2 linked regions of the Tribolium castaneum genome follow. The protein of the gene in region 1 interacts with the protein of each later gene in a pairwise test. Links are inferred from orthologs where the notes say so. Each region holds a gene or a part of one and is shown on either strand. Other genes may lie near its edges. The genes, in order: Pex12 and Pex19.

Region 1 (6,286 bases):
AAACGAAGTCTTTTAAGATGAAAAAAATCGTAACTTAAAAACTATTGGGAATGTGGTGATTTTATCGACACCAATCGATTCCCCGGATCTTTTTACATAGGCTTACATCAAAATATTTACAATTGAATTTTTGCAGGGTTGCCACCGTCGGGCTCGTGGCAGGACTTGAAGGACCACATGCGGGAGGCTGGAGACGTGTGCTTCGCGGACGCGTTCAAGGACGGTTCAGGCGTTGTGGAGTTTCTCCGATACGAAGACATGAAATATGCTATAAAGAAATTGGACGATTCGAGGTTTAGGTCACATGAGGTAAGAGTTGTTTGGTTGTTGAGGGATTTGTGTTTTAATTTGGCGTCAGGGGGAGGTTTCGTACATAAGGGTGAAGGAAGATCGTGGGGGGAGTGATAGACGGTCAGGGGGAAGGTCACGCAGTCGTTCATATTCGCCCCGTCGGAGGGGTTCCCCAACATACAGTCCGGTCAAAAGGAGTTACTCCAGAAGCCGTTCTCGCTCCTAATTTAATCTACTCTACGGACTGGCCTTTTTGTATAATGTACGTATCAAAAAAACCGGGGATTTTTTTAATTTGATTGATTTAAAAAAAATGCAAGAGAAAAAAAGCGGTTGGTAACCCTGGAATTTGTATTTGTAAATGTGGGTATTTTAATTCTTCTGACATTCCTGGAAGAATCGTTTTTTTCTCTCCTCCATTCTTGTAATTTTTTAGACTTAAATTTTATAAAAATTTTCAATTAGGTTAGAGTACGGATAAGGCACTAATATGTATTGTTTCTTTTTTCTGTTACCGTACAATTTGCTGAGTCAATCAGCGTTGGACTGGTTTTTGGAAAAAATAATAAAGTCGATAGTAAAATAATAGACAATAAAATGTTATCTTTGACACACCCGGATGCAAGAGGAGTGGATGAATGTTGTTAGGAGGGAGTCTCAAAGATCGTGGAGGAGGATATTTAAACTTTTAACACACTAAGCATTGCATTTTTCGGAGTGTTGAGAGGACACCACACAATTAAATGGCTCGGTAAATAAGTTATTCAATTTTTCTAACAATGAAACACAATCATTTCAAAAAATTAACTGACACGTTTCTCATTGAAAAAACAGTGTTTAAACGAGATGTTTTGCAATGCGATAGGTCTCACAAACACGGGATTTTGATCTCCACTTCACCGGAAGGAAAGGACAAACTCCTAGGATTAGGATTTTTTAAATAAATTGTAGTAATTTTCGGGGGATTTTAATACTTTTCCTAGGATTTTGGCGATGAAGTGGATTTAAAACTGTTTGAGGATTAGGATAGGATTACTAGGATTAGGATGAGTGTACCGGAAGGACCTCGTGGATTTGTTCCCAGGTATTTGAGACTTCTTTTTCGTTTTTTATTAATATTTTTTTATCATTTTGCTTGACAAAAAGTGTGGCTTTTTGTTGTTTTCACAATTGCATGTTTATTTCAATAAAAAATTCTCAACTACAACGTCTTTTATTCATTATCATATATCCTAACGATATCCAGCGGTTTGGCGGGAAGATTCGTAACCGGACACTTCTGGTTGTCCCTCAAATACCGCAAAATGCAAGGAAAGCAAAACACGTATCCGGAAACAGGAAGAACAGTCGGTATTTTCCAAAATTGTAAACAAATCGGACATTTATTGTGATAATTTCGGGCTTTCCCATCGAGCTAAACAATCAAATTAGCACTACTACCAACACTATCACTAGACTCACCATTGGTGGTTTAACAGTTGGCAGCGCCGTCACACTATAATTCTGGTGAGCGCTCCAGGCTTGCAAAAACTGCAAGAAAAACGCCCCAAACTCGAAGGTACTTGTAACCGCGTTTTTCAAAATATTCAATTGCCACAAATCCGCCAAATGCCCTTTGAATAAAAGCGACCAGAAACTTGGCTCAGGTGGAAGTGGCTCCGAATACGCCAACTTGACATCAATCAATTGAAGAATCGGCAATTGAGCTTCGGTTTGTTGCGACATGTATTTAATATAATTGTAAACTGTGAGCAGCCCCCATGTTATCTCAAACGTGGAGTGGGACAAAATTAACAGTTTTTTGAACCGGCCCTCGAAATTCTAGGGATTTTTAGTAGTCGGGTCAGTTACGTTGGCATACATTACGCAAACAACCGTCGGCGTTTTCCAAGCGATACAGAGCCACCTTTTCGTCCAATTTCCGTTTGAAATACGGCAAAAACACGCAAAATAACAAGGAAATGCGACGGTGGTGACTCGTCAATTGATTACCAGAGTCGAGGACACGCTTCAAGCCGTAGAAATTCTCCGAAAACGTGGCGTCTGAAATATACAATTATTACAGTTTTTGGGGGGTTTACTCACCGTAATTGCGCAGGTAGCCGTACTGGAGGCCACAATTCAATAAAAGAAAAACTTCGTCGTAGTATTTGCCCAACCAGTTGAATTTCTGGGGGCAATTAGTGGCCAAAAACTACGGATTGTTAGTTTACGCCTGAAAATTGTAGCCTTACCAGCGCGATTTTCTGCAGTGCCGGGTGGAGGGTGTCGTTGAGTGACTTTGACGCGATTATTTCGAAAATCGAGGGTTTGTTTTGCGAAGTGAGGGTGAAATTGGCTGCGTTTTCCGCCATTTTTTGAATTACGGTTGGCGGGCCTGGCGACAGGTTATGTCTCTGTGGGGCTGCTCACATTGTTGCTTTTATTCGTGGTTATTCGTTATGAACGCGACAATTGTGTTTTAATCAGTTTGTGTGTTTTTTTTTGTGTTAGGTGGGCCGGGAGTGTAAAATTGCACAAATCACGGGTGCGTTGAACGTGTGATGGCAGCACTTGTTGATTGTCAATTGTCAAAAATTTTGACCATATGTTGATAAACAAAATGCTGTGATTACAAAGTACAATGGTTAGACTAGTGTTAGTTTGTGTACTTATTAGTGTCTCGCTCTGTGATGATTTGATTTCGGTGGTTGTGGTGAGTTGGGGGGCTGCCGAGTCTTTAACCCCTTTGCAGATTTACAGGCATGGTGACCGCACCCCCATTCAGCCCTACCCGAGGGACCCCTACCGCAACGCGTCGTTCTGGCCAGTGGGCTTCGGTCAGCTGACGAACGTGAGTAGCCCCCTTTTGCGCAGTGTCACTCGTTTGATTAGTTGGGCAAACAGCAGCATTTCCGCTTGGGTCAGTGGCTGCGCCAGCGCTATGGGGGCTTCCTATCGCCGCACTATTCCGAGAAAGACTTCTCCATCCGTTCAACGGACGTCGATAGGACGCTCATGTCCGCCGAAGCCAACTTGGCCGGCTTGTACCCCCCCAAAGCCGACCAAGTGTGGGACCCCGCCCTCCCCTGGCAGCCCATCCCAATTCACACGACCCCCGAACTGGAGGACAACCTCCTCTCAATGAAAAAAAACTGCCCCAAATACAACTCGCTTCTAACCCAACTTTTCAAAACCGAGTTTTTCGCCAACATTAGTCGACAAAATCGGGACTTGTACGCGTATTTGAGCAAAAATTCAGGGGCCAATATAACGTCCCTCGAGACTCTCGAGTATCTATACAACACCTTGTACATCGAAAGTTTAAATAAGTTTGTTTTGCCCCAGTGGACCTCGGGGGTTTATCCCGAAAAAATGGCCCCGTGGGCCCACCTAAGCTTCGCCACCCAGTGTTATAACAGGGACTTGGCGAGGCTTAAAACGGGCCCCCTTTTTAACGAAATTATTGAACATTTTCGCAACGCTACCAAAAAAATTGAAAATTTCCGGAAATTTCTCGTTTTTTCGGCGCATGATGTCACGATAGCGAACGTACTTAACACAATGGGGGCCTTCGAGTACCATTGTCCCCCCTACGCTAGCACCATAATGTTCGAATTGAGGCGAAATTCAAGTTTTTATCTCAACGTTTTTTACAAAAATTCCAGTCAAGTGCAGAAAATTACGCCAAAAGGGTGTGATTTCAACTGTGATTTTGACGAGTTTATTGCGCTTTTAAAACCCATCGTTATTACACGAAAACAGTGGGATTTAGAATGTCAACTGTCTAATTTTGAGCGTTATAATCACATTTTTGTGTATTCAAGCATTGCGATTGGTTTTCTTGTTTTTACTCTAGTTTTGTGGGTCATTATTGCATGGTTTAAACATTTGAAAAACAGTGGTAATGATTATACGAGGTTGGCAATCGATGAAGTCGCTTAGTTTTTTGTCAAGTATTTATTCTCAGGGGCCAAAAACTTGCTGTTACCAGTTGGTGTCACTTTGTAATAGTGCCACTACGGAGAGCTAAAGGTTAGGATGTGAAACGACGTACAAATAAAACGTTCCCGTTCCGATAGTTCCGTTAATGTCGCGAGAGGGCGTCTAAGTTGTATTTGTATAACGGTTAACACATAAACAAAATAATCAAACTCTCCTAAACTATGTTCAAAAAAAATTTCAAACTTTTACCAATTTGCACTCTGCCCCATATTTTTCAAAACGCTGCAAATACGGTTACAGATGCAAGAAAATTGTTAGAAACAAAGTTTAGAGAATTAAATTTCCTACAAAAAAGTTCTATTTTCAACCATTTAGGCTCCAAAGTCATTCAAACACTCTCAAGTGACGGATTTGCTTCATTTTGCCGGTGGTCAAGTATTGGAAAGGTAATTCATTCCTAAGCCGTTGAAGATAGAAATACGGTGTCGCGGACGTTTTTGTAGAAAATTTAATGCTCTACAACTTTGTTCCTTACACTTTTTTTGTATCTTCAACCGTATTTGCACCATTCGCAAAAATATAAGGTGGAACTCAAATTGATAATTCTTAGCGATTATTCTTTGTGCACCGTCGTATATTTATCAAAACGCTGGAAATACGGTTGAAGGTACAAGAAAGTGTAAGGAACGAAGTTCTAGAGAATTAAATTTGCTATAAAAAAGTCCGCGGCACAATCTTCAACAATTTAGGTATAAATTAAAAATGATTTTCTGTCTGTTAAGAGTATAAAGGACATTTTTTCCAAGTAATTACTGAATTTAAATTTGTATCTCGTTTCCTTTCCTAAGTTATAGTTCTCCATAAGTGCCACCAACCTTTTATTTTGTATTTAAAAGCAACGACTGATTTCTAGCTTAATTTGCGTTTCGTGATAACAGTATCTACTGTCAAGGCCAAATATACTTATTGTTAATTGTCGTTTTCGAACAAAATTGTGGCACTCGAAAATACAAAACTAAAACAGCCGATCGGCGTATTAATACCACCCAAACCCCAATCCTTGGTGAATCAGGTGAAATAAAATTCCGAACTTGAAAAATTCTAATAAAATATATTTCATTACATAACGCAAATATCACACAAATATCATGAAAAAAACTACAAATTTACTAAAATTGACGTCAAAACCTCGCAATTTCCGTCGCATTACCGTCCAAGGTCCAGTCTGATTGCGACCTGAAACCACCATAAATCATCACTTGATAGCAATTCGCTGACAAGTCAATACTCACTCAGAATTTTACGTCATTGATTAGTACATTATCACGTTTCTTTAAGCTGTTAATAAGAGGAAAATTAGTGATTAGAAAACAGAAAGAAAGGCAAGCAAAAAGCCACAAACGCATACATACACATCCCCTGCAATTCCTTAAGTTGTTTCAATCAAGCGCTCTCTGTAAAAAATAACAGACAAGTGAAGCTCGCCCCGGACAAACAAACAAGCCATGGTCTAAGCCAACTCACCTCGAATAGCTGACAGGATTGACGGATAATTGTGACTCGATGGGGGCCATAATGTATTTCTTGACTAGATGGTAGCGCAAAAGATTTGTATTTCCCATACTTATGGCCATGTGGATTACGAGATATGCGCAAAAGATCAAGTAGAAAATTCCGATTATGACGACGAAAACGAGAGCGTACCAGTGGAGGTGTAGCTCGTTCATTGTTTCAACGACAAAATATGTGTTGATTCCGATCACCAAAATGCTGAGTAGGATCGATGCGATTTTGTTGAACCATCCATTGACGAATTCGCCCATGATTTGTGGATTGCTGGTGAAGGCGATGGTTGGGATGGTGGCGAAGGGTAATTGGAGGCTCATGATGGCGTTGAGGACGTCGTTCATTCCTGCAAAATGTTGAGATTTTATTGAGAACAATAGCAAATTTTGAAATAGCACTGAATGAGAAGGCTTTCGAAAAAAGTTAAACTTCAAAAAATTTTAATATTACGGTTAGAAAATGTCAAGTCCCCGTATTTTTTGTGCCATTTCTTGCTCCCAAAGCA
Region 2 (6,077 bases), about 6.9 Mb from region 1:
CTCCTCTCGTTGACTTTCGTTCATCATTTTCAACACATTGGTGATTTCCCGTTCCATGGCACAAAAAGCCTCCGAACTTGACGCATCCGTTGGTGATGATAACAAATCAATCATTTTCGTCTCAATCACATCGATTGCTTTTTGGATGTTTTTCTGGATGTTGTCATTACGCATTTTCAAGCCGCGCAATTGTTCCAACATTTCTTGCTTGCGTTCGGGCGGAAACGGCACACTTCGGGGACATTCGGCGATTTTCGGAAGGTCGGGTTTAGCATTTCGTGGACATTCGGGGATTTTCGCAAGGTCGGGTTTACCACTTCGTGGGCATTCGGGGACTTTCGCAAGGTCAGGTTTACCACTTCGTGGCGTTTCGGGCGGTTTCGTCAAATCGGTCACTAAGATGTTGGGACGCGGCGATTCGCTTTTTTCTGTCGTGGGGAAATTGTCATAGATCACTTTGACGGGCATCACGATGAGACTTTGTTGTGGCACTTGTTGTGTCAAATATTTATGTTCAGGTGCTGTCAAATATTCAATCAAGTTTTTGACGTTTCGTGCTTTTTGTTGTGACAGTTGTGATAATTTTCGTTTTCTCTCGCGAATCTCAGTCGGTGTTAGGAGTTTTTTCCAAACTGTGTCATTCTCGTCCATCATTCGGTGCAAGTAACTTTTGGCTTCTTTCAGTTTCATGTTGCCAATATTGTCACGTCTGGGGTATTCACTTTTGATGGGTTGCACATCATTTTTGTCAATATCGTCCAAAAGGTCGTAACATTTCAATTTTGGACGCACTAAATTTTGGCGAATTTTTCCAGTCCGGTCCTGGTTAGTGACGGGACTTGGCTGCGAACTCGTCACTAATAAACTGCAACAAGTTGATCCTATAAAAAAAAAACAAAAAATATTGCATTGTCACGCAGTTTACGTAAGTATGCAAGATTTCGATTCGTTCAGACAGACAACAAAGTTAAAAAATACTAAATATTCCTAGATTTGAATGGGTAATTTACCGGCCAAACTGTCGTGTCTTTTCGTCGACTTGGCCGACTGCGTTTTGCTCGGTTTCTGGGGGAAAAACCACAAACTCCCCGTGTATTTTTCCTCCAATTCTTGGCTTTTCTTCGCTTTAGTGCGGCGTTTTTCGTCCGGTTTGCGCTTCATTAGCTTGATGAAGCCCTCAAGACTGTCGGACGCGACCAATTGTTGCATTAATTTCCCGTGGAGGTCTTGTTGGGGTTTCCCGCGTTGGACTTCGGGTTGTATGTCGGTAAAGATCGGGAATTTTAGCGGGGGTTCCCCCGAGGGTGACGGTGAGTCCGAGAGGGCATTTGCCTGTATTGTGACCTTCTGAAGCGATCCTTTCGATTCAATTTTCTCAAGACAGTCCTGGAACTCGTCCTCGGGTTCTTTCAAAGTCTTGAGTTTTTTGAACTCGTTGACGAGTTTCGGGTCACGGCCCCCTGAGACCACCAAGTCGAATAATTTCGTGTGAAATCGCTCAATTTCGTCCAGTTTTTCGTTGATTCGTTTCGTATGTTCCTTGAGGGTGATTCTGACTTCGTCAAACTCCAGCAAGGGTGAGTTTTTGACGTCGTTTTTGTTGTACATTAGGCAGGAGAGAAATGAGGGGTTTCGTTCGAGGAAACTCGTCCGAGCGGCGATTTTCATAGCCAGTTCCTCCAAGCCGTTGCAGTTTTTCACGAAGGCATTTTCCAGCTGCTGATTGACCAAGTTCAGGGCCAATTTCACGCTTTTCGTGTAGTCTTCGCACGCCTTCTCGATGGACAGCCCCGTCTCATCGCCGCTTTTAATTTTGGAAATCTCGTCCATTTTTTGGATTTTTCGTACAGAACCATCAATTTTGACAGTGGCTTGAGAAATTGTTTGCAATGCCGGTGTGATTTGTCCACAGATTGGGGGTTCGTTGTACGACGACGAGGGGGCGAAGATCGTCAATAATTTGCTCGCGAAAGCGAAGCAAAACAACGTGCAAATTCACTTACCTTGCGATTTCGTCACGGCGGACAAATTCGACGAGAAGGCGCAAGTGGGGGCTGCCACTCTCGAGGCGGGGATCCCCGACGGCTGGATGGGGCTGGACATCGGGCCGAAGTCGATCGAAGCGTTCAAAGCCCCCATTCAGAGGGCCAAAGTGATAGTGTGGAACGGGTAAGTTGGTACGACTGACTTTAGCAACCGTGGCCAACTATGGGTTCTAGGCCAGCCGGTGTTTTCGAGTTTGAAAATTTTGCAAAAGGGACCAAAGCCATAATGGATGAAGTCGTGGCGGCGACTCAAAGGGGCTGTGTCACGATTATTGGTAATTAAATCACTTTTGTGGGCGGTTTTTGTCAAATTTGGTGTTCTAGGTGGCGGTGACACGGCCACTTGTGCCGCAAAATGGAAGACTGAGGATAAGGTTTCGCACGTTTCGACGGGCGGGGGCGCCAGTTTGGAGCTACTGGAGGGCAAGGTCCTACCAGGGGTGGCCGCCCTCTCCGACGCTTGATTTTCCCGAACTTTGTTGTAAATTATTGTAATAAACTAGTGATTTTGAGTTTGTGTGGTTGGTATTGGGTGAACAAAATGGCGGTTTTTTCCCAAACAATTTATTTAAATAATAAATAACAAACAACAGTGTTTTCACCAATTACATTACATTGCACTGATTGGGGTCGGCGTTGTTTTGCATTTCGAGGGGCAAAGGGGGCCCCACGTCGCCCACTAGATCGGTCGGGGGTTGTCCGTAATCTTGCAACTAATTCGAGAAAAATCATTCTTGGAACAACATTAAACAAAAAACGCACCTTTTGCATCAAACTCAAGACCTTGTCAAACCTCTCCTTCTTTTGCTCACTACTATCACTCTCTTTCTCCTTCTCTAACTCGGCACAGATCTCCTCCATCAATTTCTGTTGTTTTTCGTATCTTTCTGCGTCTTCTTGACTCAACTTGTCCTTATTTTTGCTCAACCACTCCGGGAACTTGTCTAAAATGTCCTTGAGACTCGGATAGAGCACGTCCTTGGACAGCAAACTCTGCATCATCCCTTGCATGAAAGGCATAAAGGCGTTTTGGTCCCCCTGTCCCGCAAACAAGTTCATAATATCCTGCTCCAAATTGGGGTTCTGGAGCCCCTCAGCCCCCTGACTCAGCCCCTGGAGCGTCTGTGATATCGTGGCTGCGAAATCACCCGAGTCTCCGCTCGGATTTTCGATGACTTGTTGCGCCGTCTCTGCCATTTGCTGGAACTTGGCCTGGATTTGCTCGGGGGTTAACTGGGACCCGTCAGGGTTTGAGCCAAGCAAATTGGCAAAGTTTGACTCGAATTGAGCTGCGGCTTGTCGGATAAAATCGTCCGACCACTCAACGTCCGGGATTTCGTCCTGTGGGGGCGCAGGTTTGCTGTCTTTGGGCGGCTCGCTTTTGAAGTCTTCCAAAGCACCTTGAAATGAGGGAGTTACGCAACGAATTTTACACCACGGGACTCACTGTCCAAGAGCTCGGACAACTCGGCGTCCACTTTTGAGGCCGAATCGGGCTTTTTTGACTCGCTCATTGTAAAATTGGTATAAAACGGGAAGCTTTAAGAATTTGTTACAAAAGTGAGGTTAGGGAAATGTCAGGTGATTTGGGGATTTTTAGGCCACCTGTCGCTATTCCCTTCAACTATCAATTACAGGTTTCTACAAAAGGGTGTACCACCACGTTTTTCGTTATAATTTGTTGTTGTGTGGTTGGTACCTTGCCGTTTTTGACAGAAAAATATGGGCAATTTGAAAATAAAAATTTATTTTTTCGCTTCACACTCTTTAAGACGCATTTGTTATTGTTATAAGAGTAATACAGGTAATGTTTGTAGAATAAAAGGATTTACGTTAAATTATGTAACGTCCGAAAAGATTAATTCCGTTAGTATAAATAGCAAATATATCATAATTATATTTAATTTATTATTTATTATTTATTATTATTTATTATCATTTATTATATTTATTATTTACATTTTAAATTATTATTTAAATATATATTTTATAAATAATAAAAGAGTGGGTTGAGATCCAACAGCAAAAAGCAGACAAAATGAAACTAAATATGGACCCTCATGAGCCCACCCCTAGTTCCGCCACTGGCTCAGATGAAACCTTATTCATTTTTGTGCTCAATATAAAAACAGGGCGAAATCTTTGAAAAAATATTAATTTTTAAATATACTTTAAAAACAGGGCAAAAAATCAAAGTATTCTGAAAAGGCTTTCTTACTACTTTTCGTATCTAAGTGTTTAAAATCAATGTCATCACTCTAAAATAAAGTAAAGTCCATCCAACGTTCCACAAAAAATGATTTGGTTACGTTTTAAGTACTTTCTCTAGGATTTTTCGCGTGTAATAGGCCGACAATTGTATAATAAATATCAAACTCCAACCAACAAATATTCCAAAAATGCCGCCAAAATTGCCTGGAATTGCTAATTAGAAGAAAATTTCACACTATAATAAATTATCAATTACTCAAAACTTCGAACCAGTAATAGACAACGTCTTGAAGGTACAACTTTGAAAACCTGCCCGAATAATACACAAAAATTCGAGTAACGTTGTTGTCCGTTTTACTGAAACTTAGAAATAAAAAAAAAGTTTTTTTTTAAATAATTTTGCCAAACTTCAAAATTGGGAAAGAATTGGCATGGGCCTCGTACACCGTTTCAGCACATGACGAGTAACATTTATTATCGCAACGTAGCGAATCTTGGCGCTCTTTTTGCAAATACGGGCCTGGCTCAAGGTCGTCCGGAAAGAGCGAAGTCCACTTCTCTATAAAACCATTCATAAAAAAGTATACAGGGTGTCTCAGCTAAGACTTTCGAGCCTGATATCTCAGATATTTGTCAACGGATTTTTATGAAATTTAGAATGCACATATTTTAGGGGCAAAAAAATGACCTCAACTAAAAAATTAAATTTTAAAACACATTTCTTTTTTGCATCCGTACCCACGTTTAACAGTTTGCTTCTCATTTTTCTCGCAAAACAGACGTCTTCCACGAACGAGTTTTTTCTTTCAGCATTTTTCACTAACGATAATTTTTTTAATATAAGTCTTAAAAGGCTTAGCATTTTAAAAAGGCATGTAAAAATTACGTTTTTAAGACTTGAGTTTTTGCATTAATTGGATTTTAATCTTTATCTTCTAAAATATCTGCTTTTTAAATTTCATAAAAATCCGTTGACAAATATCTGAGATATTAAGTCTTGCTGAGACACCCTGTATGTAATGGCTTAAGCACCTTTATATCTGTTAAGACACGCAACGTCGGCCAACGTGCACACATTGCTGCTGTTACTGAGTGGTATAAGAAACGGTATACATTGACACATGGCATATATACTCATAGTGCGACATTCTATATTACAGTCGCTTTGCGAGTAAGTTGTACCAAAACTGGTGTAGCGTTCGTGGTCAAAAAGACATTGGCGCTGAAATTAAGTTGGCAGCAGTGGCAACATCACCGTTGCCAACTTACTTTTTCTAGCGAATAGTCGGCGACGTCTCGCACCGAGGTCAAGGTCGTTGGTACGATTTCGACGAAATTTTCCGAATTCGGATGAGTGAGAATTTCGGTTAAGCCGCCGCTTGATTTATCCGGATAATCGGTCGGCACAAAAATATGTATCTAAAAGCGCGCCAACTAATTAAGCCAATAATCCACTTAATTACACTTAACTATAACTCCAACTGCTGATATGGTTGTGTAAAAATAGTCCTGTAGATTGTTATTAACCGCAACAAAAAGCCCATTTTCGACGCCTGCGTCCGTAGTTACGGGCTTTTGGTCAATTTCGTACCTGAATTGTTTAATTAAAATTAATGACTGGGAAAAAATCAGGGTTTACGTCAGTTCTTGGGTGAATTTGACGTAATTAAAGACGCAACAAAAGCCGTCATAGGTCAGTCTTTGGTAAAAAATCGTCGAACAGTTGACTTCCATGTTGCGCCACAAGCAACTAGATAATAAATCCTCGCACGGAGTGACCATTTCTCGGGCCAAATCGTCAATTTTGATGTTCAAAGAGTC

What was found.
Region 2: the proteins of Pex12 (region 1) and Pex19 interact in a two-hybrid assay, tested with the Homo sapiens proteins (4 studies listed by BioGRID and IntAct, with this or other methods). The link is inferred for Tribolium castaneum from reciprocal best matches to the Homo sapiens genes PEX12 and PEX19.

What each region holds. Positions count from the first base shown.
Region 1 is NC_087401.1:8,580,557-8,586,842, reverse strand, and holds Pex12 (peroxisome assembly protein 12), read right to left. Parts: upstream 2,661-6,286; 5' UTR 2,646-2,660; coding exon 2,526-2,645; intron 2,486-2,525; coding exon 2,377-2,485; intron 2,335-2,376; coding exon 2,153-2,334; intron 2,113-2,152; coding exon 1,753-2,112; intron 1,706-1,752; coding exon 1,505-1,705; 3' UTR 1,444-1,504; downstream 1-1,443. Other genes in the region: SF2 (serine/arginine-rich splicing factor 1A), read left to right, coding at 137-309, 359-517; prostatic acid phosphatase, read left to right, coding at 2,915-2,986, 3,026-3,124, 3,166-4,215; protein Malvolio, read right to left, coding at 5,397-5,451, 5,740-6,127. UniProt on the Homo sapiens protein: Component of a retrotranslocation channel required for peroxisome organization by mediating export of the PEX5 receptor from peroxisomes to the cytosol, thereby promoting PEX5 recycling.
Region 2 is NC_087401.1:15,464,728-15,470,804, reverse strand, and holds Pex19 (peroxisomal biogenesis factor 19), read right to left. Parts: upstream 3,663-6,077; 5' UTR 3,560-3,662; coding exon 3,493-3,559; intron 3,446-3,492; coding exon 2,808-3,445; intron 2,759-2,807; coding exon 2,651-2,758; 3' UTR 2,592-2,650; downstream 1-2,591. Other genes in the region: uncharacterized protein LOC103315247, read right to left, coding at 1-881, 1,011-1,830; Pgk (phosphoglycerate kinase), read left to right, coding at 1,913-2,169, 2,220-2,320, 2,370-2,509; pickpocket protein 19, read right to left, coding at 4,276-4,303, 4,355-4,460, 4,513-4,613, 4,665-4,815, 5,289-5,478, 5,526-5,675, 5,727-5,847, 5,896-6,077. UniProt on the Homo sapiens protein: Necessary for early peroxisomal biogenesis. Acts both as a cytosolic chaperone and as an import receptor for peroxisomal membrane proteins (PMPs).